Diceros bicornis minor: one gene and its partners. The protein of the gene in region 4 interacts with the protein of the main gene of each other region in a pairwise test. Links are inferred from orthologs where the notes say so. Each region holds a gene or a part of one and is shown on either strand. Other genes may lie near its edges. The genes, in order: FUS, STX18, RAN and NUPR1.

The links.
Region 1: the proteins of NUPR1 (region 4) and FUS interact in a two-hybrid assay, tested with the Homo sapiens proteins (2 studies listed by BioGRID and IntAct). The link is inferred for Diceros bicornis minor from reciprocal best matches to the Homo sapiens genes NUPR1 and FUS.
Region 2: the proteins of NUPR1 (region 4) and STX18 interact in a two-hybrid assay, tested with the Homo sapiens proteins (2 studies listed by BioGRID and IntAct). The link is inferred for Diceros bicornis minor from reciprocal best matches to the Homo sapiens genes NUPR1 and STX18.
Region 3: the proteins of NUPR1 (region 4) and RAN interact in a two-hybrid assay, tested with the Homo sapiens proteins (2 studies listed by BioGRID and IntAct). The link is inferred for Diceros bicornis minor from reciprocal best matches to the Homo sapiens genes NUPR1 and RAN.

What each region holds. Positions count from the first base shown.
Region 1 is NC_080765.1:20,887,694-20,896,200, reverse strand, and holds the start of FUS (RNA-binding protein FUS), read left to right. Parts: upstream 1-5,083; 5' UTR 5,084-5,150; coding exon 5,151-5,163; intron 5,164-6,781; coding exon 6,782-6,806; intron 6,807-6,895; coding exon 6,896-7,050; intron 7,051-7,803; coding exon 7,804-7,948; intron 7,949-8,144; coding exon 8,145-8,365; intron 8,366-8,507. UniProt on the Homo sapiens protein: DNA/RNA-binding protein that plays a role in various cellular processes such as transcription regulation, RNA splicing, RNA transport, DNA repair and damage response. Binds to ssRNA containing the consensus sequence 5'-AGGUAA-3'.
Region 2 is NC_080747.1:6,965,962-6,973,436, forward strand, and holds the start of STX18 (syntaxin-18), read left to right. Parts: upstream 1-4,172; 5' UTR 4,173-4,215; coding exon 4,216-4,383; intron 4,384-7,475. UniProt on the Homo sapiens protein: Syntaxin that may be involved in targeting and fusion of Golgi-derived retrograde transport vesicles with the ER.
Region 3 is NC_080774.1:2,098,474-2,106,169, forward strand, and holds the start of RAN (GTP-binding nuclear protein Ran), read right to left. Parts: upstream 3,102-7,696; 5' UTR 3,013-3,101; intron 2,569-3,012; 5' UTR 2,559-2,568; coding exon 2,523-2,558; intron 2,240-2,522; coding exon 2,155-2,239; intron 2,078-2,154; coding exon 1,952-2,077; intron 747-1,951; coding exon 559-746; intron 363-558; coding exon 192-362; intron 92-191; coding exon 47-91; 3' UTR 1-46. UniProt on the Homo sapiens protein: GTPase involved in nucleocytoplasmic transport, participating both to the import and the export from the nucleus of proteins and RNAs. Switches between a cytoplasmic GDP- and a nuclear GTP-bound state by nucleotide exchange and GTP hydrolysis.
Region 4 is NC_080765.1:22,008,815-22,015,985, reverse strand, and holds NUPR1 (nuclear protein 1), read right to left. Parts: upstream 3,155-7,171; 5' UTR 2,354-3,154; coding exon 2,239-2,353; intron 1,809-2,238; coding exon 1,672-1,808; 3' UTR 1,659-1,671; intron 1,323-1,658; 3' UTR 897-1,322; downstream 1-896. UniProt on the Homo sapiens protein: Transcription regulator that converts stress signals into a program of gene expression that empowers cells with resistance to the stress induced by a change in their microenvironment.

The DNA of each region.
Region 1 (8,507 bases), about 1.1 Mb from region 4:
TAGCACCTTGCTCCCACCTCCCATTAATAACAGAAGTTGGATAGTCTTTATATCTGTACATTTAGATCCACTTCATTTTTCAAATCTCATGGTATATCCGTATTACAGTGGTTCTCAATCTGGGATGATTTGGGCCCCCCTACTCCCGCCAGGGACATTTGGCAATGCCTGGAGACAATTTGGTTATCACGACTGGGGGTTATTGCTAACATCTAATGGGTAGAGGCCAGGAATGCTGCTAAATATCCTAGAATACACAGGACATTCCCTCAAAATAAAGAATTAACTGGCCCAGGGGCTGGCCCGGTGGTGTAGTGGTTAAGTTCGCATGCTCTGCTTTGGTGGCCTGGAGTTCACAGGTTCAGATCCCAGGCACAGACCTACACACCACTTATCAAGCCATGCTGTGCCAGGCGTCCCACATATAAAATAGAGGAAGATGGGCACAGATGTTAGCTCAGGGCCAATCTTCCTCAGGAAAAAGAGGATTAGCAATGGATGTTAGCTCAGGGCTAATCTTCCTCACCAAAAAAAAAAAAAAAAAGGAATTAACTGGCCCCAAATGCCAAAAGTGCTGAGATTGAGAAACCTTGCTGTATAATAATTAAGTCAACCAGACCCTCTCTTGATGGGCACTTAGGCAGTTTCTAATGTTTTGATATATAGGCAGTGCTGCAATGGCAATGATCCACTTTAGATAGTTTAAGCAGAAAGGGATTATGATAGGTGGTTACCAAATTTCTGAGATGGTCAAGAGTCAAGCTTGGATGCTTCCCAGCCAGTAATACATACCAGGCCAAGGGTCCAACAACACCTTGGTACTTTCTTTCTTTCTTTGTTTTTTTGTGATGAAGACCAGCCTGGAGCCAACATCCATGCCAATCCTCCTCTTTTTGCTGAGGAAGACTGGCTCTGAGCTAACATCTATTGCCAATCCTCCTCCTTTTTTTCCCCGAAGCCCCAGTAGACAGCTGCATGTCACAGTTGCACATCCCTCCAGCTGCTGTATGTGGGATGCAGCCCCAGCATGGCCGGACAAGCAGTGCGTCGGCGCGCGCCCGGGTTCGGTAGCGGAGCGCGCGCACTTAACCACCAAGCCATGGGGCGGGCCCTTGGTACTTTTCTAATGGAAATTCCAGTGCTGTTGCCTCAGTCCATTGATGTTAATGATACTAAGGATGTTATAACCTCCACCAAAGTTACCCATGAAGAACCAAAGGCTTGGGCTGCTATGCTGGCCAGAACATGTGAATTTTCCACCAATAGTTGCTGCCTCCAATCTCATGTAATGCATCTGCTTGACAAAATTGGGCTGGAGATGATCCAGAGACAGGCCTGGAACTCAGGAGGGTCATGGCTGGGTGTACGCATCCAGGAGCTGAAGGCATGATGTGGATGAGATTAGACTGTCTAGAGTCTTTAACCTGGAGTCCCCACTAGGGGTCTGAGGATAGCAGTCAGGGGGTCACAGATTTGGACAGGGAAACATTACATGGCAATTTTCACTAACTGCCAATTGACATCTAGCATTTTTCTCAATATGATGACTGTAGGCAATAAATCACAACAGTTTCTGGGTCTTGGTCACTGACAGAAATCTTAGAAATTGTACCACATTGCACTTGTTGTAGGTACCTGAAAACATTTTTTTATTCCACTCTACTTCAAAATTAAGATAGCTATGGAAAAAAGGAAAAAAAAAACTATTAGAAAACAGAAAAAAATTAAGATAGTTATTACACTATCAGATCTGTGTACTGGATCACAAAGATCTTTTTAAGAAATAGTTGATAACTATTTCCATTGGATTTCTTTGTATTCTTACAAAGTTTGTTTTATGCATTTACAAATATTATTCTAAGAAGGGGTCCACATTATCATTAAACTCTGATACAAAAAGAGGTTAAGGATCCATGATCTGGGAACAGATCACAAATCTGAATGCCTTCAAGGGCCAGCTGGAGGCCTGAAAACCAGGGCCTGCTTTGTTTTCCTACATTTGAAGACAAGAAATATTTTCTCTTGCTTTTAACTCGAAGAAAAACTGCATTCAACTCCTGATATAAATGACAATCGACACTCTCCCACTAGAGAAACATTAGGGAGTGAGGGAGACTGTGGCAAGCTGCAAGCACATGCCCCAGCAGCCTCCTGCTCCAGCTGACCCCTGCCCTCTGGAAAAGTAGGCCCAGGGTGGCCAGAGCCTCTAATTTTCAAGAAAAGCCAGAAGTTTGGATTTTTCCCCTATATTTAGTATTGGCAACTAGTTAATTAAAAACAACGTGCTGGCTACACAAAACCTGTCTGCAGGCTGCATCTTACACCAGGTCATAGTTGGGGCTTTGGGTCTTGAGGGAGAAGCGAAGAAGGCTGAAGACAGAACTCTGGAGGGCCCTGCTGTCTGTAGGGTGAGCAGAGGAGGACACTGCAGGGGAAGGAGACAGAGGGACAGTGGGAAAGGTGCGAGGGCTGGGAGCAGGGATGTCAAGTAAGGAGACTTTTAAGGTGAAGTGAGAGGTCCCTGTGTGATGTGACTCAGGAGAGGTCCACTGAGAGAGATAAGCCTGGAGAAACGGTCACTTGATGAGGTCACAGTATAAACCTGTCACTCCCTGCACTCTGCCCATGAGTGCCTTTCCCTACCCCTGCCTTTGTCTTTGCCATTCCTTCCACCTGTTACACCTTCCCTCTCTCACCACTTGGTGAACTATTACTTATCCTGCAAGGGCTGCTTCAGTGTCACCATCTCTCCTTCCTCTTCTGTGGTTGTCTACTTAATGGATGACTTGCTCTCCTCACAGAGTTCCCAGATTCCTTGATTCCATGTCACAGCACTCACCACATTTGATTCAAACATACTTTGGGGTCCGTGTGTCTCACTCACATCTCATCCACTGGCTATAAGGTCCTGCGGTTCAGGGACTGGATCTTTTTTATCCTCCTCTCTCTACGTCTGCCCCATGCTTGGCACACACTATGCAGTGCTCAAGCAATGTTTGCTGAAGCACAGGGGTCAAGAGCAGGAACTCTGAGCCAGGCTGCCTGGGTTGGGACTCTGGCTTTGCTGCTTTCTGTGTAGCCCTGGGGATAGCTTATGATCTTTCTGTGCCTATTGTAAGTTATGATCAAAGACTCAGAACACTGCTTTATACTTAGTAAGCCTTATCAAAGTGTTAAGCTATTATAAATGTGTTATATATAACATATAAATATCATTATTAAGTGTTAGTTTTGGGGGCCGGCCCGGTGGCGCAGTGGTTAAGTGCACGTGATCTGCTTTGGCGGCCCGGGGTTCCCAGGTTCGGATTCCGGGCATGCACCGACGCACTGCTTGTCAAACCATGCTGTGGCGGCGTCCCATATAAAGTAGACGAAGATGGGCACGAATGTTGGCCCAGGGCCAGTCTTCCTCAGCACAAAAAGAGGAGGATTGGCATCGGATGTTAGCTCAGGGGTAATCTTCCTCACACACACACACAAAAAGTTAGCTTTGTTATTAAGTTCCTTCAGATGTCTGTTTTGCACACTAATGCATCCTCAGTGCCCAGAACAGTGCCTGGTACACTACAGGTGCTTAATAAATATTTGTAGAATGAATGAATGAAGGAATGATGGACTTCCCTTTGCCCTCACTCCACAGTCACACTGCCCTCCCAATGAGGGTGGGGCGAGTGACAGGGTATTCAAGGGCCATCAGGGGTTTAGTAGAAGTTTGTGGGCAGGCCTAGGGCCTAGACCTTAATTGTTTCTCTAGGAAAACATGTCAAACCTACAAAGGAACTACTGGAACCGAGGTCAAAGTTAAGTTGGGAAAGAAAATCTGCATGGCATGTGTACCAGGAATAACCTCCTTTGTCTTGTTTTATTCAATACTCTCAAATTGCCTTCTCCAGGCAAGGCTGATTAGACTGCAAGTTGCAAGTTAATTTGAACTCCACTTTTTGTCCTCGCTCTCACAGGGAGTGAACAGGCTTCAGAACACTGCCAGGTGTTCATATAACCAACAAAAGGAGTGTTTTGCAGCCACACAGACCTGGATTCGAATCAGATCTGACCCTCAGCTGCTCTATAATCATGGGTTGCACTTGGCCTCTCTGAGTCTCACTTCTCTTATCTATAAAAGAGATACATTTCCTTTCCTTAAAAGATTGTGATGGGAAAGCAATTAATTATGCATTTTGAAACCACTTAAGCCATATGCAAATAGTTATTACTGGATCTCCATATTGGTTCCTTGGTAGTGCTTTAGAACAATAAAAAGTAGCTCCTTATCTGTAAAAGGCTAGGAGACCCCTAACCTAATCTCAACGCTCTCTGAGGTCCAGAGGGCCTGGGCTTTCCCCTTCCATCGCCAGTCAGGGTCAAAGTCACGAGGGTTTGGGAGGGCGATCAGTGCTGGGCCAGACGAGGATCCAGGGATCTGGGCTAAACTCCATGCTTTCTTTCAGGTCAGACGTCACGATTTACAAACCCTGGTATGGACTAAGGAAATGAGACCCTGAAAGACTATGAAGTGAAAACCAAGGCCCAGGGAGAGAGAGAGAGAGAGAGGGTCGGTGTGTGTTGTCGGGGGAGGAACTTTAGAGCCAGAAAGGGAGCTTGGCGGCCGGAAGGACGACACGTCCTGTGTACTGCGAGGGCAACGGAGCGCAGGATCTCGCCATCCGGAGTGAAAGTGGGGCCCAGTGAAAGGGTCCAGCCAGAGGAATTTCGGTTCCCGCCTGGCGCCTCCCAGCTTTGACTACAGTTGGGTCCGCAGACGCCCTGGGCCCCTCGCCCCGCCCCCAGAGGGTAATGAGACCGTACCATTATGCCTTTATAGGGGTAGAGGTGAATAGCAGGCTAGTCCTGCAGAGTGAATCCCAGTTCTTTATCAGAGAAAACATGATTTTATATATTATTTTCATGATTCTCAGTTAATATGTTTCCCTTCTGCCTGCTCAGACCCTGTATACTCCCTGAAGAGTGGTAGGACTCCAGCCATGCTTCCCCCTTTTCCTAGCCGCACTTGGTGCATTCCTCCGCGGTACGTAGGCGGGAGGCGTACATAAACCTCGACGCAGGAGGCGGGGCTGGTCAGTCCTCGAGGCGTCGGTGCTCCGTGGTGTTGGAATCTTGTTGCTTGTTGGCCTGTGCGCGCGTGCGCGGACATGGCCTCAAACGGTATGTAAAGGCACGAGGCGGCGGTGGCGCGCCGGCCCGGGGCCTCGTTCTCTCCCAGCTGGGCTTTTGTTTTTCGGTGGGACCCGGGCAGTGATCGCGTGTAGGGTCTTCTCGCACCACGGTGGCGGGAAGCAACAGAGAGGGGTGGAAAGGGGAGGCTGATGTCGCCATTTTGTTTCGCTCCTCCGGCGCCTTGCGCGGGGCAGGAGGTCTTGCCTTCGCAGTGCCTTTACTGGAGGTGAGGGTCGAGAGGGACGCTTCTGGGTGATTTGATACGTGAGACACGGACGGAAATGCTCCGTCCCCGTAGCCGTTTTTTCCCTTCGGTCCTAGCCCGGCGTTCGGGCCCGCTTTGTCGCAGTGCTGCATCCGGGCACTCGGTGCGCGCACGCGCTCTGCTGGCCCCTCCCCCCTTTCTCGCGGCCCGAACTCCCTCCCGCCTCGTGTTGGCGCTGCTTTTTGTCGCGAGACCCTCCGCTGGCGACTCTGCGCTGCGCGTCCGGTGTGGGCCTCGCCCGCCGGGGTCCCTCGGGAAGGGGCGGGACCGCCGGGTTCCCGCCTCGGTTGCCACGCGGCCGCGGGCGGAGGCTCGGGATCGGGGCCGCGCGCCCGCTTAACGGCTGTGGGGGCGTCTAACGGGGTTGGGGACTCGGCCCGAGGATTTTCCCGCCTAAATTTCCTCTTTCTGAGGTGGGAACCGAAAGAACGGCTGCCCGAGGCCACACCCTCTCCCGGTCCTCTGGCCCTTTCCTGCGGGGGAAGCGCCTGGTTTCCTGTACTCAGGGGATGCGTTGATCTGGTTAGTGCGTCCTCAGTGTGGCGTTTTAAAAGCACTCCCGCTGCATTTGGTTTGCTGTCTCCTCACAGCTCCGAGGAAGGCAGGGTAGATGAGGAGAGGGGATTGGAGCCGCAGGGCTGAGGACTCGAGGACCAGTTAACTGCTGCCTCCTGGGGCGAGCACTTTGATGATTTGTCATTTGTGGTCCGAGGGCTCTTTTCTCTTGGTTACCTGGCTTTGCACTGAAAGCCCACTTTGCCGCTTTTCAAGATTAGGCAGAGGGTGAAGAAGTTTGAGACATTCTGTTCTTTGGGTCTCGATTGCGAGAGTGGAGGCCACATTTCGAACACTGCTGCCTCCAGCTTGAGTTAAAACCTGTCCCACTTAAGTAGCTCTGGGACTTTAGCTTGATTCTTGGTGATACTTTCTTCATAGAGTGGGTGTGAAACTGAAATGTGTGTGAATTTGTGCCATTCCTGACATCAGTTGAGTTTGCAGAAAATTGTAGATGTCCACCAAGATTCTTGTTTTTTTCCAGTAGTAGTTAAGGCCTCTTGGTGTCTGCAGAAATTTGCTTTTTCTTTGACTCTTTTTCAGAGTCAAGTACGAAAACTTGACTCTGATCTGCCAGCTTGCCCCTCCTCTCAACTAGTGTTTCAGGAGAGAATTTCTGCCCTTCTTGCAACATGGTCTTGTTGGTTGATTTCTTACCTGGAGGCCCCAGGGCTTAAATTGAGGAATTTTGCCCTATTGTTTTTTCAGGGATGGCTGAAGGTAATGTAATTGTATTATTGTTGCTTTCTTTTTTTGAAAAAAATAATTGTATTTTTCTTTTTGCAGATTATACCCAACAAGCAACCCAAAGGTGAGAGTCATTTCTGGGCTTTCGGGGTTTGTAGAGGTCAAGGGTGGCTAGGGTATCTTTTCCTAATTACACTGTTTCTGTTTCTTCAGCTATGGGGCCTACCCCACCCAGCCTGGGCAAGGCTACTCCCAGCAGAGCAGTCAGCCCTATGGACAGCAGAGTTACAGTGGTTACGGTCAGTCAGCAGACACTTCAGGCTATGGCCAGAGCAGCTATGGTTCTTCTTATGGACAGACCCAGAACAGTGAGTCTCTTTTAGTGGGTCACCCCCCCCCTTCCTTCTCCTCCTGAATGTTGCTTTTCTTAAACCTGAGCAATGCTGAAATGTTGGAACTGTCCTGTGTTTCTTTTCCCTTAACTGGTCTGTAACTCTTAAAACTCTTTGGAGTCTGAGTCCTTTCAAACAAAAATGCATACTGGTTTGTAATTCTCTTTATTTTCTTGAGTCCTTATTTTTCTTTTAATGCTGCCCTTTTCCCCATTTCCCTTTAGCGTGAAAGTGAAACGTGGGGGAGAGTATTCCCTAAGGGGAGAAAGTTTTAGATTTTTGGTGCTTACAGGGAGAAAATGATTTGCTTGAAGATGTTTGAAGTCACACTACCAAATATCATGTGATACACAAGGAGGTGGAATTTGCCCTGAGGTCTTGCAGTGTAAATAATGTGGGTTCTATGTGTACTGCACACATCTGAGCAGGTTAAAATGCTGTTAATGAGTAGGGATCTTTTGGGCTGTGATTAGTCGTGCGTGGTCCTGGAGACTCGCTTTGGGGTGGGTATGGTGAGATCGGAAGTCCAAAGTTGATAGAAGTTGGAACATTAGCCTTAGGTAGAAGAGAAGGGTAACTTTATGAATTGCAAGATTCTAAGCAGCTTCTGAGAGGCGAACTTTTCAAGTATGGGTAGCATTAGATAGTAAATAATATTTTCTTCAACCCATTCCCTGCCTTTTCTCTTTCTACATAGCTTTTGTGGTTTCCTTTCTCTTTTCCTTATAGCAGGCTATGGAACTCAGTCAGCTCCCCAAGGATATGGCTCAGCTGGTGGCTATGGTAGTAGCCAGAGTTCTCAGTCGTCTTACGGGCAGCAGTCCTCCTACCCTGGCTATGGCCAGCAACCGGCTCCTAGCAGCACCTCGGGAAGGTAAGGAGTTGTGGGGAGAGGCCTGAAAGATTAAGGGTGAATTGATAAGGAATGATAATGTGACCAGCAATAGGAGCAATCATGAGGAGTAATGGGGAGGGGGGTGGTCTTTCTTGGGTACAGACAATGGGACGTACCAAAAGCGAAAGGAAGTTTTGGACATGCTGTCGTTATGATTCTTTTTCCTTTTCTTTAGTTACGGCAGCAGTTCCCAGAGCAGCAGCTATGGGCAGCCCCAGAGTGGTGGCTATGGCCAGCAGTCTGGCTATGGTGGACAGCAGCCAAGCTATGGACAGCAGCCAAGCTCCTATAATCCCCCTCAGGGCTATGGACAGCAGAACCAGTACAACAGTGGCAGTGGAGGTGGCGGAGGGGGTGGTGGAGGTGAGAAGGTGTCTTCAGTTTCGTCTCTTTTCTGTAAGGATTTATATTCCATAGCTTGGACCTTACCGTAAAAGGTTTCTTAAAAATCTTGCTTTCTTGTTCCATAGCCGTTTTCTTATTTCTGTTGTTTTTTATCCTTTGGCACTGTTGAACTGTTGTATGCCAGTTCACAAGG
Region 2 (7,475 bases), on a different chromosome or scaffold from region 4:
GTTTCAAAACTAAGCTCCTAGGAGAAATCCACTCTGATTTTTTAAATATTTATTTTATTGTGGTAAGAATACAACACGAGATCTACTCTCTTAACACATTTTTAAGCGTACAATACAGTATTTTATCTATAGGCATGATGTTGGGCAGCAGATCTCTAGAACTTATTCACCTTGTATAACTGAAACTTTACACCTGCTAATCAGCAACTCCCCATTTCTCCCTCCCCCCAGCCCCTGGCAACCACTATTCTAGTCTCTCCTATGAGTTTGACTATTTTAGAAACTTCATATAGGTGGAATCCTGCAGTATATGTCCTTCTGTGAATGGCTTCTTTCACTTAGCGTAATGTCCTCAAGGTTCATCCATCTCGTTGCATAGTGGATTTCCTTTTTTAAAGGCTGAATAATATTCCATTGTACGTATATACCACATTTTTTTGATCCGTTCATCCATCAGTGGACATTGAGGTTGCTTCCATGTCTGGGCTATTGTGAATAATGCTGCTATGACGGTGGAAGTGCGGCTATCTCTTTGAGATCCTGATTTCAACTCTTTTGGATAAATACCCAGAAGTGGGGTTGCTGGATCATATGGTAGTTCTATTTTTAATTTTCTGAGGAATTTCCATACTGTTTTCCATAGTGACTGCACCATTCTGCATTCCCAACAACAGTTTACAAGGGTTCCAATTTCTCCATCACCCTGATTTCTTTAGCTAGTTTCCTTCTTAGGAGCAAAAGTTGATTCTTTGAGCTTCCTGTCCCTAGAGTCACGGTCCTTTTTAGAGCCCCTGAGAAAAAAAATTTTTTTGATGAATTTCTTTCAGGCCACTTCCTACAGTGAAAGTACATGTTCTCCAAGTCCTCCCCTCTTGCACCGTGAATTCTGCCATGGCATGGCCAGGCTTGCAGGGTTTCTATTATTCTAACACTCCCAACCAGGTCTTTTCTATTGGTTAGATCTAGGTGTAATCTAACTGTTCCTTCCTCTCCATCCTTTACCTACTGAGAGATGACACTGTAGTGATGGTAAGTGAAGAATGCACCCAAAAGTCTTGTTTTGGCAGATATCTGGATATGCGTTGTATCAATCAGGATATGCTAATTACGTTGCAGTAACAAACAACCACAAGTCTCCATGGACCACAAGAGCAAAGGTTCATCTCTCACTGCCAGCACACGTCCTTAGTTGGCTGTGCTCCACGTCATCTTTACTCAGGGACCCAGGCTGGTAGCACATTGGAACATTATGGGTTGCTATGGCAGAGGGAAAAGAGAGCATGGTGAACCACATGTTAGCTCTTAAATTTGCTGCCCCGAACCAACACACATTACTTTTCTCAGCTAAAAGGAATCACCTAGCCAAGTTAGTCATCTATAGGTCAACGAACTATAATCCTCCCCCAAGGAGGGGCCATGAGTACCAGTGAACGATAAAACAGACTATCACAGAGGGTCTCTAGTTACTGTATTATTGTGGCAAATCTATGATTCCATGGACCCAGAAAACTGTGGTCTCCCCATTCTGCCCTGCAAGAATTCACATTTCCAGGCACTGGACACCCTCCATGCAGCAAATACCTGCTTACGCCAACTTTCGCCAGTTGGTACGGCTATAAAACCAACCCCTCTAAAGGATGCCACAATGACAAAGTCTGACGACAGCAGAAGTCTATTTCTCACAGCACATGTCTGTCATGGGTTGGTCATCTGGATGTGCAGCATACCCTCTTTTTGATGGAGGCTGCATTTAATGACTTCTGTGAGAGTCCCCAAATAATTCTGAGCTGCCTACATTTATCTTGATTGTATGGAAGGTGCGGTTATAGGGAGCTATATTCAGGAATTCCAACATGCATTACTGTTTTTCAAGAGAAGAGCGCCTGGCCTAATGAATGAAACATTATTACCAATGAAACATAATTTCTGTACTACATCAAACTTGGTAGTTTGTAGTATACTCCCGTGACACTTCTGTTCTTGCTTTTCATCCACATCCCCTCTCAGCTTTATGGGATTTCAAATAGTTACTAGTCCAGTGTCAACTTGTTGCTTTGCTCTTTGAGGTTAAAAGAGAGAGAGAAAAACAGTGAAATCTCATACCCCACGATCTATGGGAAGTCCAATGGCCTCCTCAAGATCTTTGTGACTCTTCTAGGACTTTTATGTACGTGCGGTCACTTGTGCCTTTACAGCTTGATGTTTTGAGTTTACTTGGGTCTCATCTCCACAATCTTCTCTGCTTTTACAGATCCAGACAGAAAACTTACACTTTTTTCCCCAACCTTTTACACAAAAAAACTAACCGCACCAAACGCACTACCCACACAAGGCATTACTCACTGAAGGTTTGGTGTAGCTCAGCCACCCCCTCAAAACTCTTCCCAAAGAACTACTCTCTCCTTTCTTGAACCCCCTCCCTGGGCTCTGGTTTCCCCCTCCTCCCCCTAATTCAATCCTGTTCACTTTATTATGCAGAGCAATTTAACTCTCTTTCCTTCAACTCTGCCCCAGGCTTACCTATGCATAGCTAAAGACCCATTAATGTCTCCATAAAACAAAGGACCATTTATGCGAGACAGAATCCTGGGCAGAGATTTTCTAATTTCTTTTTCGTTTTCTCCCTCTTACTCTGTAGGCAGAAGAAAGCTGTATGGAAATTTATTTTCCTCATACAGGAAGGCTGAAGTGGCTACAGCTGGGTTTTAAATAACATTTTTCTCTCTTCTTTTCAGGTACATGTGTACTTTCTTGACATCTATTTCTGATAAACTTATTTCTTGAACACAGTGGGTCTCAAATTTTGGTCTCAGAACTCCTTTATACTCAAAAGTTATTAAGGGCCCTAAACAACTTCGGTTTATATGGTTTTATGTATCAATATTTACCATATTACAAATTAAAACAAAAATTTAAAATACTCATTCCTTTAAAAACAAAAATAAATCCATTACATAGTAACATAAATGGTATCTTTCTGTGAAAAAATACATTTCCAAAACAAAACAATTTAGTGAGAGCTGCATTGTTTTACGTTTTTGCAAATCTCTTTAAAGTCTGGCTTAATAGAAGACAGCCATTCTGCATTCAGTGTTTTGCAATGTGACAAGGCACACAGCCTCTGGGACACTCAACTGTACACAACTCCTGAGAGAGAGAGTGAAAAGGCAAGTAACATTTTAGGATTATGAAGAGTTTCTATCTTGCCGACCACGCTTTGACAACCACTGTTTTAATACATATTCCAGCGGTGCACCCACTATCAAAAAAACAAACGATGAAATCAATGAGATCTTGAATTAAATCTGAACCTTGAACCAAAACGTACAAAGGACTCACTGGCTACCCTGCAGTCAACTTAAATAACTACCACTTAAGATGGTATATTTAAAAACTATACATCAAGGATGAACAGAAATTCCGCCATTGTCTCCATCTGATAAATTCCTGGTCAGCCTTCAAATCTGCCTTCTCTAGAGTGAGTCTTCTCTATGGAACCCTTCCCCACCATAATTACGAGGACAACAATGTTATTAACAACAGGTATCTAACTTTTATTGGTCACCAGGAGCCAAGCAAAGCCAAAACACTTCACGCGTGTTATCTCATTTAACTCTCAATAATTCTCAGGAAGGTACCGGCTTCGGGGGGCTGAAAGGTGAAAATGAAAGGCCTCCGGTCTCCAGCTCTGTGCCATGCACACCTGCTTGTCCTAGCACGCATTGCATCTAGATGTCACGGTCCACGAACTCCGTCCCGCACAAGGTGCGTCCTTGAGGTCAAAGGTCATGCTGAGTCGCCTCCGGCCACCCGCGGCCGGCTCGCTCCGTGCGGGAGTCTCGAGAAGGGGTCAGCTTCCTGGTCCTCTCGCTCCCGCGGCCCACACGCCCTACACCGGCCCGCGGGGGCGGGGGGTTCGTGGACCTGCCCGCGCGGCCAAGCCCGCAGAGGTGGGGGGTTGGGGGAGAAGGGGCGCGGCTGTGCGCGCCGCGAGGTCCGGGCGCCGCGGGGGTCCGCCACGCGCGTGCGCTGAGGCCGGAACCTTTCTGCTCTGGCCGCGGTAGCCCGGCGGAGGCCGGAACCTTTCTTCTCGCGTCGCGGTTGGCGTGCGGAGGCGTGCGGAGCCGGAACGGTCCGCCGGGGGCCGGGCTCGCGCCGCGGTCGCCGGCTGCTGACGTAGGCCGGCCGGGTCGGGGCCCGTGAGTGCGGGTCGTCATGGCGGTGGACATCACTCTGCTGTTCCGGGCCAGCGTCAAGACCGTGAAGACGCGAAACAAAGCGCTGGGAGTGGCGGTGGGCGGCGGGGCTGACGGCAGCCGCGACGAGCTGTTCCGCCGGAGCCCGCGGCCCAAGGGCGACTTCTCCAGCCGGGCGCGCGAAGTGGTGAGCGGGTTGCTATGGAGACGGCGGGCCGGAGCGGGGGGCGGCCGGACCCCGTCCCGTGCGCGTTGTGTGAAGGCCGCCTGGACTGAAGCGGGGCCCGGAGAGCTGGTCCGGGGGGCCGACAGCTGTCCCGGAAAGGGCGCAGCCTTGTCTCGGGGACTGGGGACGCGCGGTGGGGAGCGCGGAAGTGTGTGGGCAGAGCTCACGCGCTGCTGCGGAGCTGCTGAGCTCGCCGTCGCTGCAGACCTGAACGCCAGCGAAACGCCCCCGCGTTCCTCTGCTTTCCTGTCGCGGCCCTGACCGCGGCGTACTTGCCTCTCCTGTTTACTGGTCTCGGCCCTCTCCCCTTCCCCCGCGTGGAGATCACATGTTGTGTCCAGCTGACCTCTCCCGTCCCCTCGCCTCCTGCAGCAGGTTAGGGCTCATGTTGGGGATCAGTGCGTCTTGAGACTGGTTAAGGATAATCTTTCACAAACACTCCATGTTAGCGTCATCTAAACTACTTCTGTGCCTTGAACACAGCAGGCTTTCGTTCAGGGGAGCAGGAACCTTTTCCTTAAGGGCAGAAACAGTGTTGGCTTCACGTCAGAAGCCCCAGTGCCCGACTCCGACTCATGGCGTTGCTTAGTAAATGTTTGTTGAATGAATGAATGAACAAATGGTTGTCTGTCTTCCCCACTAAACGGGAAACTCTGTAAAGGGAGAGAGAAAATGTTTGCCTCGTTCACTTTTGTATCCTTGGCACCAAGGGTGGATCTAGTTTTTGTGGAGCTTGAAGCTTATGCAGTTCTGCCTGTCCTCTTTAAGAAATGAAAATACAGAATCACAAAGGTTTAGAGCTTTGGGAGGTGTAAACCCTGAAGCTTAAACTTCATTAATTTCGTGGTAAATCCCCTTAAGTTTGGCACACAGTCCAGAGCCTGATACTTTGTAGACACTGAGATATTTTTTAATGAGTGTATGTATGCGTGAATTAACAAGTGGCAGTTTGCAGAGGATATTCAAGCATCAGAAGGGGGACTGGGCCAGATGAATACATTCAGTCCATCAATAAGCATCTGTTAAGCAAGCACCTATTTTTTGACCAGCACTGTGTTAGAATAACATGATTTAAAGGGAATGGTGGGGGAGACCGAGTAACAAAACAAGCACCATACAGCCTTGTAGATGCTGTGTAGGCACAGAGGAGAATGTGGCCAATTCTGCTGGAGGGCCGAGAGAGGCGATAATGTCTGAAACAAATCTCTAAAGAGGAGTAGTTGGTTCCAGTGCAGACAGGGTGGAGAAGGGCGCCTCGGGCTAAGAGAAGAGTATGCACACAAAGATGTGGAAATAGGTCATTTTCATGCTCAATTTAGCTGAATTTATATATACTCAATGTGTGTCTACCCATTAAAGTACCAACAAATTAGACAGTAATGACATTGCAGATTTTTTTGGAGGAACTTGTTATGTGAGCTACTCCAAATGAGGATGAATGTGCCGCTTCGCAGTGTTAATGAATTGGTTGGATAAGCATTTGAGTGTGGCTGATTTGGGGGACACTCAGGAAAACTGGACTGGAGTGGTAGGCAGGGGAAATCTTGAAGGGCCTTGTTTATCACAGTGTGGAGTTTGGACTTTGCCCTGGAGGCAGTCAGATGTTATGTGGTAGAGAGAGCGCTAGAGAAGGGGTGAAGACACCAGGTTGTTGTCTTAACCCTGCGATGATTAGCCATGATCTTATGAAGCAGGTTTTATGGCCTTAGTTTATTTACCCGGCAATAGTCTCCTCCTTTTTTTCCCCCTTAAAAAGCAGAAGACTTTTAAAAAAAACTGCTATGATCTCCGATATATAGCAGATCAAGGTTCTCAGGTTGAAATGAGAGGGAGGGAAACTGGGACTTCTCTGTGCGCCTCCCTCGAGTCTGGCCCAGGCTGTTCCTGAGGTTCCTCCTTTGGAATTGTGGTATGAAGATCACAGTTTTGGTTTTTGGAGGGCCTTTTCTAACCCTGAAATCACTGATTTATTAACACTGTGCTAATTTTGGGTCCTGCTCAGGGATAGGGGCTCTGGGAGTGGCCGAGACGAGAAGCATCGTTGGATTGGCCAGCAGTGAGGAGAGAGCCCTGTGATCACTTAGGCCCCAGGCCTCTCCCTGAGTAGTGAGATGGTACTTTAGGCCTTTGGGTTAATAGGCCTCAGGGACAGTAACAGGACCCTGGGGTGCTGAGTTCCCTGTCACTGGAGGTAATTAAACAGCGGGATGACTGCTCGTCAGAGATGTTTGAGAATAACTCTGTGCTTTTGTCAGAGGGTTAGATGCATGTCACTGAAAGTTCCAGTTCTGGTATTTATTGATGTGGGTAGGTGTTAAGGCTTGGGGAGTCTATTAAGTAGGGACATGGGCTGTGTTGTTCAGGGCCACTGCCCTTCCTGACATAGGGAACACATGCCTTCTTTTGAGGAATTTTGATTTTATGTTGCAATTGCTTTATGTAGTACCTCCTGTTCTTGCAACCATTTCTCTCTCTCATGGAAAGTGTAACTAGTATAGAGCTAGTGAGGGGTGTCCTTTGCTCTTAACCACAGTCAGATGTGTCAGAAGTCTGGCTGTTGTTTTGTTTGGCCTGAATTCCTTATACATAAAAGTCTGGTCATACTAGGAACACATATTCTGGTTCAAGTTGAGCCCTGGTTGTCAGACTTAAGGAAATGTAGCAAGTTATAGTAATGCCTTTTCTTGAATGCCTTCCTTGAAGCATTTATTATCATTTCTAAGATACGTATTACCTAGTTCAATTCCAGTTCTTCTCATTCCTCATTTTTGACAAAACATACTCCTGATGTCAGATTTCCATCTCACTGAGTTGTTGTAGAGGTTATGTTAAGTTTAATACAACTGTGTTGAAACTAGATCTTTTATTTGTCCCACAGGGTGGTTTCTTCTGCATCATTTCTTTAAATATTTAACTTTTATGCTTGATTTTGCTGAATTTATATATACTCAATGCATGTCTACTGATTAAATTACAAACTAATTAGACAGTAACAACGTTTTGTATTTTGGGGGGAGGAACTTATGTGAATAGCTCCAAACAACGATGAATAT
Region 3 (7,696 bases), on a different chromosome or scaffold from region 4:
TGCCTATAAAACTAGACTTCTGACGCTGGGCTCCAGCTTCATTTTCTCACAGGTCATCGTCCTCATCCGGGAGAGCAGTTGTTTGAGCAACCTGGAAAAAGAGATGAAAAAATTTTAACACTCTAGATTAAAGCCACTAGGAATGTGATATGCCAAATCCCACAGCACCCACTGAGACTGAAACATCATACCTCTAGATCATGCTCGTACTGTGCTGCCAAAGCTGGGTCCATGACAACCTCTGGTGGGGCAAGAGCAGGCATGGCGACAAACTCCAAGTTAGGGTCTCCAATGAGTTTTCTAGCAAGCCAGAGGAAGGGCTTTTCAAAGTTGTAGTTACTTTTGGCAGAAATGTCATAGTACTGTTTAAAAAAGAAGTAAAATTAATTTTAAAAACTCCATTACTCAAACAATGATCATCCTGGGGGACACTGCAAGCTAAAAGATAAAATTACTTCAATCCACATATCACAGACGTTTATCAACCACTTTAATGGACCCATATATAATTTTATCTAAGGGCCCTAATCCAGTAAATGGAAGCTGTAAGAAACATACCTGAAGATTCTTCTTTCGGTGGAAGACAATAGATTTTGCCTTAACTTTCCTGTCCTTAATGTCCACTTTGTTGCCACACAACACAATGGGGATGTTTTCACATACTCGTACCAGATCTCGATGCCAGTTAGGCACATTCTTGTAAGTAACTCTCGATGTTACATCAAACATTATAATGGCACACTGGGCTGAAGGAAAAATTTACAGAAATTAGTACACACCTAGCAACTACATGGATGAGAAATGCTAAGAACTATGGACTAGCACTCAGTCTCAGACTTAACTCTAGGTCATCCAGAGTTGCCTAATCAATTTCAAAGTCTCTTCCAATTCTAAAAATCTTAAATCACTGTAACACACAATACCGTTTATATGAAAGCATGAAAAACCAATTTACCTTATCAAATCTCTCTCCCTATAGTCCTTCATCACTAATTCTACCTAATCCCAAAAAAGTACCTAAAGTAGATTAATGATAAATCAACATTCCAGAGAACTCACCTCCCATATTCTGAGGGTCTAGAAATCTATGCTTTACAATGTCCTTAAACGGCTGAATACACCATAACATGCCTCTATTTAAGAATACTCAAGTAGGTCACTATGTTGACCTGTAGGAATAGGCACCTCTCAAAGCTAATGAAAAAACCAAGAGTATGCACAGTATAATACAGTTTAAGTAAAGAATTTTTGGGGGAAAAATCCCTGTATTTGTACATACTCAAGGAAAAGCAAATAGCATGGAAGGATTCCCAACAACTTTTCAGCGAGAGTAAGATTCCAGGTAATGAGTATTTTCTTTATTCATCTTTTCATTTGGCACAACAGTAAGCATTTTTCTTTGCAATTTTTAAATCAAGCATTCGGAAAAAAAATTCTGCAAAACTCAGCACAATTAAAAAGAAAACAGCTGGTCTTTTACAACATTTGTAAGCTAGAGAACCTAGCTCTTCTGGTCCAGTATCTGGTCAAACTGTTTACTATCTTCTCAATAGAATGGAGAAGAAATCATCATTGATGACCACCAAAACATACACCCAGAAATAAGTTTTCAAATGAGGCTGAAGCTGCAGCAACTGCTTGTCTGTTGCTTACTACTGTTTTTAAATTATGAGCCTCAATATAAAATCAAGTAGTTTTTTCAAAACAGTGCCTATTATGACACAGCATGCAACCAAACGGCACAAGACAACTTCCATAAAATTTTTTCCCCCTCCAATGATGGTCAGCTCCCTGGAGGCAATGACTTTTTAATCAACCTAAATTACACAACTCCTGGTACGGTCCGGATTAAGCATGTGTTCACTGGAACAGATCTGATCATCACTGAACACCCTAGGGGACCAAACTACAATTTCTCAAAAAGTGTTCAAGTTACAGACGAGACACGCACCTTGAATGTAATAGCCATCTCTCAGTCCACCGAATTTCTCCTGGCCCGCTGTGTCCCACACGTTGAACTTGATGGGCCCTCTGTTGGTGTGGAACACGAGGGGATGGACCTCGACGCCCAAGGTGGCTGAAACACACACCCCACATCAGTCCGGGAATTCGTCCGTTTCACCCCACTTTCGCCGACGGTTTTCCCCCACGTACCTACATACTTCTTCTCGAATTCCCCCGTCAGATGGCGTTTCACGAACGTAGTTTTCCCAGTGCCACCGTCCCCAACCAATACGAGCTGTTGGACAACACGTTTTTGAAATAAACCCCAGACCCGTAACATCTCAGGACCCCGGAGTCACGCAGCCGCGAGGCTTGCCGGACGCCCACCTCCACCGGGGGGACAGAACCTCAACACCCCGTCAGGTCCCCCCACACAAAGGACCCCGACCGAGCGGCCCCGCCATCGCTTCGGCGACTTCGGCCGCCGGAACGTGCGCCCGCGGCCACGCGGGGCCCGGCCCCGAGAGCCCCCGCGCGCCCCGCCGCGCCCCGCCGCGCCGGCCCACGCGGACACCTACTTTGAACTGGACCTGCGGCTCTCCCTGGGCGGCCATCGCGATGTTCCTGCGGAGAGAGAGCGGGGCCCGCGGGGGCCGGGACACATGGCCGGCCGCCCCACGTGCCGGCCCACAAAGGCGGCCCCCGGCCCGACCCCGCGCGGGCGGCGGGCGGGGCGCGGCGCCATGGCGGCCGGGCGGCGGCTCCCGCGGCCCATTCACCGGGCCGGCGGGGAGGCCGCGCGGGGGAGGCCCGGAGGCCGGGCCCCGAAAGCGCCTGGTCACGGCCGGCCCGCCCGGCCCCCCTCCGTCCGCGCCCGGCCCGCCGCCCCGCCGCCCGCCCGCCCGGCCCGCGCTCGGGTCCGGCCCGGCCCGCGGCCTCCACGGGGAAGAGGGCCCGCCGCCCCGGGCCCGGCCCCGCCGCCTCCCGCGGCCGCCGGCGCCCTCGCCCCGGCCCCGGCCCCGGCCCGCGGCCCCGGCCCCCGCCCCGGCCCGGCCTCCCCTCCGCTACCTTCCAGAAGCGTCTCCGGGCCCGTCTGACTGAGGGCTGGAAAGATGGCGGAAGCGCAATTCAAATGCCCGGAGACGCAGCCGACGCCGGCGCGCGCCGAGGGAGGGCGGGGCAACGGCGCGGCGCCTCTCCCACGTGGCCTGGCGCGCGCGCGCACGCACGCCGCGGCTCCGCCGGCCGCACTCGTCGGCCGGGGGCGCAGGGAGAGGCTCGCGGCGCGGCGGGAGCGGGAGGCCGTGCGGGCGCGCGCACGCCCGCCTGCCCGCGGGGCCACGTGCGCCGGCCGGGAGGCCGGGTTCCCGCGCGCGCATGCGCCGACGGCGACGCGGCGCGCCCTGCTGCCGCCCGGGTAACAGAAGCGGGAGGGGAGGGCCGCGGCCTGTTGGGCGGGAAACTCGCGGGGAGCGGCCACACAAAGCCCCGGTCGTGCCCGGCGGCCTCCTGCACAAGCACGGGCACAGCGGGCCCCGGGGGCGCCATGTTGGGGGCGCAGGCCCCTTCCCTGCCCCCTCCCCAGCCCCCGGCCTCAATCAGGACCCTCCGAGGGGAAGGGAAGCAGAGACCGATGCTTTCTCCCCCCGAAAAGCCAGCCCCCTGTCTCCTACGGCGTGTGATCGGTCAGCAGCCTCCGCGACCGTATTCTGCAGACAGGATGCTGAAATGTGGTGTTCGCAACCGTGGCGGGTCTTCTCCTGTTACAGACATGGGTGCAGTCATGAGTGTCCAGGTTCCAGACTCGGGAGGGGATAGGCCGCCAGGAGCCCGGACGAGCGCCGTGCGCGCACGCTCCTGGAGACACCCCCTCACGGGGTCAGCGTGGGCGGAAAAGGAGGACCCGCAAGCTCACGAGTATTGGTTATCGTCATCCGTTCATTCGCTTTTAGCAAAGATGTGGGCCGAATGGAGTCCTCGCACCTCGTATCCTAAATCTGAGGCCAGTGTTTGGCGTTTATATGGACAACCACAGATTCTTTAACTGACGTCTGGGTCCCCCCGGCCAAGCAAGCATCCATGACTGGCAGCAAGAGCAGGCAGCGAATGGCCCCATCAGAATAAAGTTCCTCACAAAAAGATTCCACCACGGGGACTGTTCCCAGAGCAAAGAACCCAAATGACCAAGGAGTTAGCCACGGAGTCCTGAGTGCACTTGCAAGCAGGTCTGTTGGGAACTCCAGTGACGCAAACTGGGCACAACACATCTGAGAATGTGCCTGCTGGGAACTCAAGTCCGAGTGCCCCGAAGGACCCTCAGGAAAACACCAAGCAGATCTCGATGCTGCTGGTGGGAGTGTAAATTGGTTCGGCCTCTTGAGAGAGAGAAACTAATAAAACATAAATGTCCATAGCTCACGACCCTGAATTGCCCTGTATTTCCATTTCTCGGGAGATGCCGTAGCGTTAAACTCACACATGTGCATAAGGAGACAGGTTCACAATGCTCACTGTGACATTATTTACAGTAACAAAAAGTGGAACTTACGTAAACGTCCATCAATAGGGAAATGTATAAATATGCTGTGTTTATACGATGGATTACTGTACAGCATTTAAAAAGAATGAAGTTCAGCTATGTCAACAGAGTTAGATAGATCTCAAAAGGATAATGTGGAGAAAAGAAGCAAGTTCAAGAAATATGTGGTAATACCTTTATATAGTCTACACTATATATAATTTATAGAGATTATATGTAGTATAAGACCACTTATGTAAGTTTTTTACAAACACACATAAAACCATATTAGTTCTTGGATGTATGTATGTAAATTTTTAAAAGTTGACTACAGGGATATAGACTAAATTCTGCTGGCTGTTGCTTTGAGAGAGGAGAAAGGAGTGTGATGAAATTGGGAAAAGCAGTCAAAGAAGTCTTGATCTGCAGTGTCCTCTTTCTTTTTTTAAAAAGGTAATCGTATAATTCTGGGTGATGAAAACACCAGTGTTTAGACCTTTTGGCATTTAAAAAAAATTTCTAACCACAAAAAAAGCCAAGGGGCAGTATGTCAAACCAAGAGTATTAGCTGCTCTCGCACCCATCCTTCTAAAAGGAGCTCCTGGGCCGGCCCAGTGGCTTAGCGGTTGAGTGCTCGCGTTCCGCTACTGGCGGCCCGAGTTCAGATCCTGGGCGCGCACCGACGCACCGCTTCTCCAGCCATGCTGAGGCCGAGTCCCACATACAGCAACTAGAAGGATGTGCAACTATGACATACAACTATCTACTGGGGCTTCCGGGAAAAAAAATGGGGAGGATTGGCAATAGATGTTAGCTCAGAGCCGGTCTTCCTCAGCAAAAAGAGGAGGATTAGCATGGACGTTAGCTCAGGGCTGATCTTCCTCACAAAAAAGAAAAAAAAGGAGCTCCTGGGTGGTCTGTTCTTGGCTGCTAATGTCATTAACTGGCCCAATCCCAGAACTTCTAAACATCATCATCTTATGGAGAGTGAAAAGGGGGAAAATATACTCAAGCCAGCAGAAATAATGCTTTTCCTCAATAGAACTGTCCAAGCTCGTCCATTTGTTAATGGCTTTGCAGTTTACAGAGGTACTTAACTTGTCTCGGCCACCCAACACAGATTGCAAACCCATGCTTAACCTGTAGTTTAAAAAATTACAGCTATATACACAAAGAAATATGAGAATTACAAAAAAGTTGCAAAAGTAGTACAAGGAATTTCAGCACCCTTTACTTCTAGTTTCCTCAAATGTTAACATTAATCATTCTTGATCATTCTCTCCTCTCAATAAAAACATCGTATATATATGATTTTAAAAATATGTCAATATATATGTGATTTTTTTCCTCTGAGATGTTTGAGTAAGAAGCAAACAGCACGCCCCTCAGTGTGTATTTCTTAAAACCAAGGACATTCTGTTACGTAACCACTGTACAATTACCAAAGTCAGGAAATGAACATTGTTGCAATTGTTATCTTATCTACAGAACTTAATTGCCAATTGTCTCACGCCTGTCCTTTATCTGCTGCAGGATCCATCTAGGATTACACATTACATTTAGCTGTCCTGTCTCTTTACTGTCTTTCAATGTGGAATGCTACATTCATCTTAGGCTTTCATATCCTTGACATTTTTGCAGAGTATTTTGTGGGCCAGTTATTTGTAGAATGGCCCTCCATTTGGATTTCTCTGATATTTCCTTAGGATTAGAGTCAGGTTATGCAGCGTGGGTTGGGATACCACAGAAATGACGTATGTCCTTCTCAGTGCATCTTATCAGGAGGCACAGAGCGATCTTCTTAAAACATATCAGACCAACCTTCTCCCCTCTTAAACCCTGCAACGGTTATCTATCTATCTCACTTGGATACATGAAATCCTCAGCCGGCCAGGTCCTATATGAGCTAGCTTGTGCCTACCTCTCCTGCCCCACCTCGGGCCTCTTTCCCAGTAACTCTTCTGTGGCCACACAAGCCTTTCTGAATCTTACCTTGGCCAAGTTTGTTCCCAAATCAGGGCCTTTGCACTTACTGGTCCCTCTGCCTAAAACGTTCTTTCTCCACATCTTTGCCTGAGTGGCTCCTTTTCATTCTTCAGGTCACAGCTGAATGTCACCTCCTCAGGAAGGCCCACTCAGACCACACCCCTTCTAACGTGTTATCACCACTCCAGCCCTTCCTCATCTCAGCAACCATTTTATTTTCTCCAAAGCACTTACCACTAACTGAAAATATCTTGCTTAATTATTTACACGCTTCCTTTTTTTATCTCTCTGTCCCTCATTAGAATAAACTAAGCACCTTATTTATCATGATATTTGAGGTATCGAGCACAGTGCCTCGGCCATAATGGGAGCTCAGTAAAGATTTGTTGAATTATTGAGTGAATTGCTCTTCACCCCATCTGAATACAGAAAGAATAATCAGAAACAGCAGCGATATATTCTAATAAAAATAATGATTTACATATACCAGCTTATTAGAATTTTAATAATGCTATTTCATATCAAAGACTAATCATTAAGCAAATAACTTAAACATTTACCAAATATAGGGCCAAGCTTTTCTATTTGTATGGTTTCCATCAACTTTGTTGACTTTGCAAACCAATAAGGAAGCTAATCTTAAAGATTTCATTATCTAATTCATTCATCAGTCCAGCTGACGCATGTCAGTAACTTACCAAATGAGATCTTTTCTTTATCCGACACTCAATGTTCCATATAGGGAGCACATCGATGCACAGAGTACATGCTACTTCTTAGCGTTAGCACAGAAGTTATCGTCTTAAAAGCAAATGGAGAGACTTGTCATATAGTCACACCATATAGTCACTCATCTCTTTCATCTAAAGATAAGGACAGTGCAGAGGGTGCACCTTCGTGGCCCATGAACTAAATCCAACCTTCAAAGGTGTTCTTTGTCCTGCACTGAGGTGGTTCACAAGTGCTTTATATCTGAACTAGCGTTTTAAAATGGGATGGTTTTAAAAGAGTCCACATTTGATACTGCTCTCTCTGAAAGTTGAGCCTCATCCTCCTCTCCTTGAGTGTGAGCTGGACTTAGTGACTCACTTCTAACAAAGGGAATATGTCAGAATGGACAGTGTGACTGCTGAAACTAAGTCACAGAGGCTCTGTGGCCTCCTTCTCGCTCTCTTGGGTCACTGTGGGGGAAGCCAGTCACCGTATGGTGGGGACAAGCACAGCCACGTGGACAGGTTCATGTGACGA
Region 4 (7,171 bases):
TTTTTGGCTAGCACACGGCTAAGCAGGGAAATACTACATTTCCCAACCTCTCGTGTGGTTGGGTGTGGCCGTGTGACTAAATTCTGAGCAGATGTGATGTGTTCTACTTTTAGGTTGTGGCCTTAGAAATAAATTGGTGTGGCCTCCCCTGGTCCCTTGCCCGCTCTCTTTCCACAGGCTGAGATGCAGATGTGATGGCAGGTACCAGAGCAGCTAGATTGGACCTCAAAGTAGAAGCCATGTTTTGAGAGTGGCAGAACAATGATCCAGAAGGAGCTGGAATCCCTGACACAACGGAGTTGCTTTTAGCCCAGGAGTAGTTACCCTTGGAGCTGTTATGTGACACAGAGAGAACTTTCCATCCTGTTTTGTTTGGCTCTTCATTACAGCAGCCAAATCTGTATCTCAATCAATATATCTTCTTAGCTTCAATCACATCTCTTTTTTGCCCCATGTTCTTCTCCAACTGTGATCCCAAGACTGATAACACTAAGTAAGAACTTCCTCCTCTCGCTGACCTCCCATAATCCTGTTCGGGCAGCTCCCCGGGCAAAGGGACCCCCCTCACACTTGAGCACTCTAAGAATCCTTGAAGTTGAGCCCTGGGTAACTTGAGCCAAGTCCCTTAATGTGTTAAATCTCAGTTTTCTCCATTTTGCAGGTGGCGCCAAGAAATAACATTCACTTCAAAAGGCAATGTTATATGAATACGACATCGTCAACAAGATTGTTCTTCCGAAAATGGAGAGGAGCTGGGGAGGGGGCTTTTTTCATGGGCAGCATTACAAAGAAACAGAGGAAATCCCGCTGCACCCCAAAAGAGACCACAGAAATGTATGCACCAAAACACACGCATACCAAAAAAAAATGCATGCTCACCTCTAGGTGCCCTACAAAATCAGGAACCGCCCCTCCCAGACACATAACCAAACACAAACACTAACAAGAAATGCTCTCACTGGCTCATGCAAATGCAGACACATGCGGGCAGAAACAGAGAGAGAGGACAAAAACCACACACAGGCTGCAGCTGCTGAATTTTGTTTATTGTCGCTGCCACCCTAGGGAGCTCCCGGGTCTTCAGCGTCTTTCTTTTTGGGGGTACCTTCATGACTCTGCCTCTCTATCCCCTGCCTCTTGCTCCCCATCTTGTCCTTTTTCTGGGGCTGGGGGCGCTTCCTTGGTGGCCCCTTGGAGCCTCAGTCAGGTGGGGTAAGTCCTGGGGGTGGGGCGGAGGGCAAGCAGGCCTGGATCCGGCCCCCAGGTGCTGATTCTTCCGAAGTCCTTTCTCCATTGCTGTGGTGTCCGTGCTCTGGCCTCATCTGGGGGAAGGAAAGCAGGTGACCAAAGGCGTAGAGGCCTGGGTTCTGACTCTGCCTCTCCCGCTCACTTGCTGTGTGACTCCAGAGAAGGAGCCTACCCTATCTGGGCCTCAGTTTTCCTCTCTGTAAACCAAATTTCCCTCTAATTGGAAAGGGTCTATGTTTCCCCTTTGCTCTGGTCACTAACAAACTCAGAGTCGAATGTATGTTTCATTTTACTCTATGTGGAAACAACAGTCCCTTGACCCCTTCTCCCCACCCAACCAGCACATTCAAGCTTGTCCCTTTCAAGGCACAGGGACCTCTGCTGTTGCTTTGGGACCCCCGACTCCCTACCTCCAGCTCTGTCTCAGGGCCGTGCCCCTCGCTTTTTTCGCTCGGTATTCTGGAGCTTGGTCACCAGCTTCCTCTCATGCCCACCAGGGCTGGGGCGGTTGGTGTGGGCAGCAGCTTCTCTCTTGGTGCGACCTTTCCGGCCTCCCACTCCTGGGAACCGAGGCAAGAGGCCAAGGTGAGGTGGGCAGAGGCATGATGCCTCAAAGGAGAGGCAGGGGGTTGGGACTTGGGGGGAAAGAGCTTGGGCTGGAGTAGGGAGACTGGGGGGTTGTCACCATAGCTTTGGGGGCAGCCGTAACCCCTGTTCCCCATCTGTGGAAGAAGGGGCCGCTGGAATGAGCTGTTGTTGCTCCAGTATTCTAGAAGTGTATGAGGCCCCAGGCTGAATAGGACAGCACTCAGTGGAGGAGGGGTTAGCAGGGGGTGATGCGAGGGATAAAGGAACAGGTTGGCTGGATAAGGGTGAAGGGTGGGGAGAAGCCCAAGGAGGGGACCTCGTTTGGGGGTGGGGGCGTCAGGCTGTTTGTGGGGGATGGGGATCAGAGTAGAAGAACCAGGAAGGTGGCAGGCCAGGCCTTACGCAGGTAAGAATGAGCCAGGCTGTAGAGGTCGTACTCATCCAAGCTGGGGTCTTCGTCCTCCGGGTCTGGGGGCTGCCGGGATGGGCTGGCTGCTTTCGGGAAGGTGGCCATCATGTCTGGCTTACTCTTGCTGTCTGTCTCTCGTCTTCTAAAGCTTTGTTTGTGTCTGGTTTCCTGACACCTCCCAGTTCACTGGCCCCAACTTATAAGGCCACGTCTCCTCCTCAGCCCACAGTCTGGCTCCAGCCCCTCAGGCCCTGTCTGATGCAATCAGGCCCTTTCCCAGAACCCGGCCCAGTAAACACCAGTCACGAGAGGGAAAAAGAGTCGTCCCGTGAGTCCCAGCCCCCCTTCCCTCCTCCTCTCACCGGGGCTCGCCCAGCTGGGTATTTTTCCACAGAGGAGATCCCCGCCCCTCAGCGGGGAGGAGGAGAGGCAGGGTCTGGGCATAAACAGTTCTGAAGATCAGGGCCAGCAGGGAACTGAGGGCCTCACTTGGCCAACTCCTTGCTGTCTGTCTCCTGCCCTCTGCAACGTGCCCCTCCTGGGCTTGGGCTCATGGCCACACAGCTGACCCCCACCCCCACCCCAATTGTGGCTCAGATTCAGGACCATGGTGGCAGAATACGGAGTGAAAAGGGAGAGGGAGAGGATATCAACACTCTATGTGCTCTGTCAGTGGTTCTCACCCCTGGGACACCCAACCCCCTCTTTTATAAGAAACATCTGGAAAGCCCCCTTAATATCCTGAACTGGGTCCCTAGGTAATTTCCTCACCTGAGAGAGAGGCTAGCAGAGTGGTTACGAGTGCAGATGCTGGAGCCAGATGCCCTGGGTTCAAACCCCTGATCCACTACTGCCTGTGTGATCCTAGGCAAGTCACCTTCCACCGCTGAGCCTCAGTTTTCTCCTCTGTAAAAACGAGGATGATAAAATTGTATCTACCTCATAGGGCCGGTGAGAGGATCAAATGAGGTAATCGTGCCTGGCCCAGCATAAGTTGCACTATGTAAGAGTTAGTCACACAGTTTCCAAACAACTCCATATAACACCCTCACTGTAATGGAAAGGAGACATAGAAGGAAATTAATTTATAATGAAATAAAATGTATTTCAAAACATGGATAGACTGAGGTAGAAAACATTATGAAGTGAATAGGTGTTTGTACCTATTTAATATGAATTAAAGGGAGGGGTTCAGATAAGAAACATGTGAAAGTAGAATTTTCCACTCTTGCCTAAGGATCTGACCCAGAGAGGCCACACCCTCGGGTGCCCACTCCTGCTTGAGCTCAGCTTGTCGTGCACCAGCCCCCGGCCCCGGCTGTCCAGATCAGGGAAGGAGGCAGACACAATAGTTCACTTTCTTATTCTTTTTTTTGGTGAGGAAGATTGTCCCTGAGCTAACGCCTGTGCCCATCTTCCTCCATTTTGTACGTGGGATGCCACCACAGCATGGCCTGTTGAGCAGTACATCGGGCTGCGCCTGGGATTCGAACCTGCGAACCTGGGCTGCCGAAGCGGAGCGCACGAACTTAACCACTATGCCACTGGGCCGGCCCCACTTTCTTTTTCTTTTTTTTTTTTTACTCTGTGGTTCCAGCACAACAGGACCTGCTCAGTGTTAATTCTCTGTTCACACTGCGACTTTGCTGTGAGCCTTTTGAAACGTGTTCCATCTCAGTGTTACCTAAACCCCATCCTTCTCCAAACCCTATAATAACCCAGTCTTGTCTTCTGTTGAACAAGAAGCAGCACTTCTGCTTGTGTTCTTCTCTAGCCTGAGCCAGAATTAAATTTAGCTTTTGTTTTCCAGATTTGGGTGATATGTGAGTTCTTTAATACCCAGTAAATGAAAGTGAAGACAGGAGGGTAGTCGAATAAGAACAGCTGGGATAATAATGACAGACCAGATGACAAGAGAAAGAGGAAAGTCACCTTAACTTAAAGATAACACACGGGGCCGGCCCGGTGGCGCAAGCGGTTAAGTGAGCACGCTCCGCTGCGGCGGCCCGGGATTTGCCGGTTCTGATCCCAGGTGCGCACTGATGCAGTGCTTGGCAAGCCATGCTGTGGCGGTGTCCCATATAAAGTGGAGGAAGATGGGCACGGATGTTAGCCCAGGGCCAGTCTTCCTCAGCAAAAAAAAAAAAAAAAGGAGGATTGGCAGATGTTAGCACAGGGCTGATCTCACAAAAAAAAGAAAGATAACGCACCACAACAAATTAAGGTGGAGAAATACAGTGTTATTGCAAAGTAGTGGGCTTTATCACTACGTGTAAAAGTAGCAAAATAATTTCCTCTATCATGACGTGGGAGAGGGTAGGTTCTAGGCTCAGCTCATTGTAAATAAGTTTTTTAGCTTCATGAACATTTAGCAGGACAGTCAAATGTCATGTAGGACATGAGGCAATTCTGTGTGCCACTGTCCTGCTCCCCCTCCCTGTCATTGTGACAACCAAGAACACTCCCACAAATTCCCGAGCTGCCCCCTAGGGGGCGGACTTTGACTCATTCACCTCTGCCACTAGGACCCCCGTTTACCGGCTGCGAGATCTTGGGCTCGCTTCTGAGTTTCCGTCTGCTCATCTGTAAAGGGAAGATGGTGACAGTACCCGATGTGTGAAAGGGCTTTGTCCAGAGCCCAGCATGTGGTGTACTATTTCCCCTATTCTTCAAAGAAGGAAAACTGAGGCTCAGAGAGCGACCAAGATCACACAGCTGGTGTGAGAAGGATTCCTCCCACGGTCTACCTGACCCTGGTTCCAGGGCTCGTACTGTCTGCACAGCTGGCAAACACTGGCAAAGGCTGGGTAGCTCTGTGTGTGGAAGCACCTCTCAGAGAGTTGTCCCTCCCTCCCTGCCTCCTTGTCCCCTCCTTCCTTCCTCCCAAACAGTGAGTGCCTGCTTTGGACCAGGCAGGGTGCTGAGGACACACAGAACTACACACAGTGGCGCCCTCTGGACGCTCTGCGCAATGCAGGAGGCAGATCATGAGCAGATGAGCGCACATCCCTATCCAAAATACCGTACATTCCCCCAGTTATTCTTTACCCCTTTACCCTGACGTTATTTTACTTTCTCTATAGCATTTAGTTATCACTAGTCAAAGTGTCTTTTTTATTTGTTCACGTCTCCATGATTTGTCCCCACTAGAAGGCCATCATTGGTTTGGTTTAGTTAGTGGTTAAAGGAGGAGGCTCTGCAGCCGGACTGCTTGGTTCTACTGCTTGTTAGTTGAGTGCCCTGAGACAAGCTATTTAGCCTCTCTGTGCCTCAGTTTCCTCATTTGTAAAATGAGATTAATAATAGTACCTAGTGGGATTGTTGTGAGGATTAAAAGACCAATTCTTGGGGCCGGCCTGGTGGTGCAGCGGTTAAGTTCATGCATTCCTCTTCGGTGGCCTGGAGTTCGCCAGTTTGGATCCTGTGTGCGGACCTACTCACTGCTCGTCAAGCCATGCTGAGGTGGCGTCCCATATAGAAGAGCTACAACTCTACAGCTATGATACACAGCTATGTACTGGGGCTTTGGGGAGACAAAAGAAAAAAAAAGAGGAGGGTTGGCATCGGATGTTAGCTCTGGGCTAATCCTCCTCACCAAAAAAAAAAAAAAAAGATTAAAAAAAACCCAATTCTTATAAAGGCTCAGCACGGTGCCTAGAACAGAATAAGTTTCAATAAATGTTAGCTATTATTATTATTATCATTATTCATGAGGGCAGGAATCTCGTGTGTCTTATCATTATTATTTCCCCCATGGCTGGCACACAGTGAGCACTCAATAAATGCCTAGTTGAATACATGAAGCTATGCTAAGATCGGCACTGCTTTTTCAGCTTCCAGATGCTCTGCTCTTAGGGAACTGAGGGGCCCAATCCTGCTCCCGCAGAGGACTGTGAAGACACCGTGACCATCGTCCGTGGAGCCGGGGAAGGAGGTCTCCCTGGCCTTGAGTGTGCAGGTGCTGGAAGGATAAAGCCTAGACCTTGGGGGCAGGAGTGGGCAGAGGGAGGGTGGCCAAGAGAGAAGGGACTTTTGGGAACCCATTGGCATGGACCTGTTGGGCCCAAAAGGTGACTCAATGGGAAAAGTCAAGGTGTGTTTTCCCAGTCTCTAGTCTCCAGGTGTGTGTATAATCAGCCACAAGTAAGTTTATTTTCTCGCTGCTTATGACTACACCTTCGTGACATTCCAGGAGATTGCCAGGCACACCGATTACAAGCCAGCGTGGTCAGTCTGGAGTAAACACAGGGGCTGGGGGAGCTCTCAGGAGGGTACCTAACCCAGCATGGGGGTGTGTGTGTGTGTGTGTGTGTGTGTGTGTGTGTGTGTGTGTGTGTAGGGGCTGGGCAGAGGATCAGGGCAGACTTCCCGGAGGTGGTGAATCTGAACAAGAATAACTGTGAGAAAGACAGCAAGACAAGCCCAACTCCAGGAGTTAAACCATCCAAGTCAGGAAAGCCTGGATAGCCTGAGGGATGTGCAGAAGTCTTTGGCTCAAAGGATCAGGAGCTTCCCAGGCAGGATATGTAATCAGGAGGGATTGGCGACATTGCTGTATGCCAAGGGGACTCAAGAATCCTAAATGAGGTGAAACAGGATGTGTCTGCATGACCTCATAGCCCCATGCGGAGAAACCCTCGAACCTGGCAGCTGTTTGCCGTTCTTCTTGGCTGTCTGACTTCATCCCCTTGAATATAAATGCATGCAGTCTTTTCATGGGTGATTTGGCAACATTGACAAGAATGTTAAATGCACATACTCCCTGATATTGCAGTTCTACTTACAAGAATCTCCTACAGAAATGCTCCCAGGCTTGTTTGTAGCAGTGAAAAACAGAAACGACCTAAGTGTCCTTCAATACGTGACTGATCAGCACCCTTCTGTGAAATGTTCTGTGGCCATTAGAAAGAACAAGCTATGTCTCTA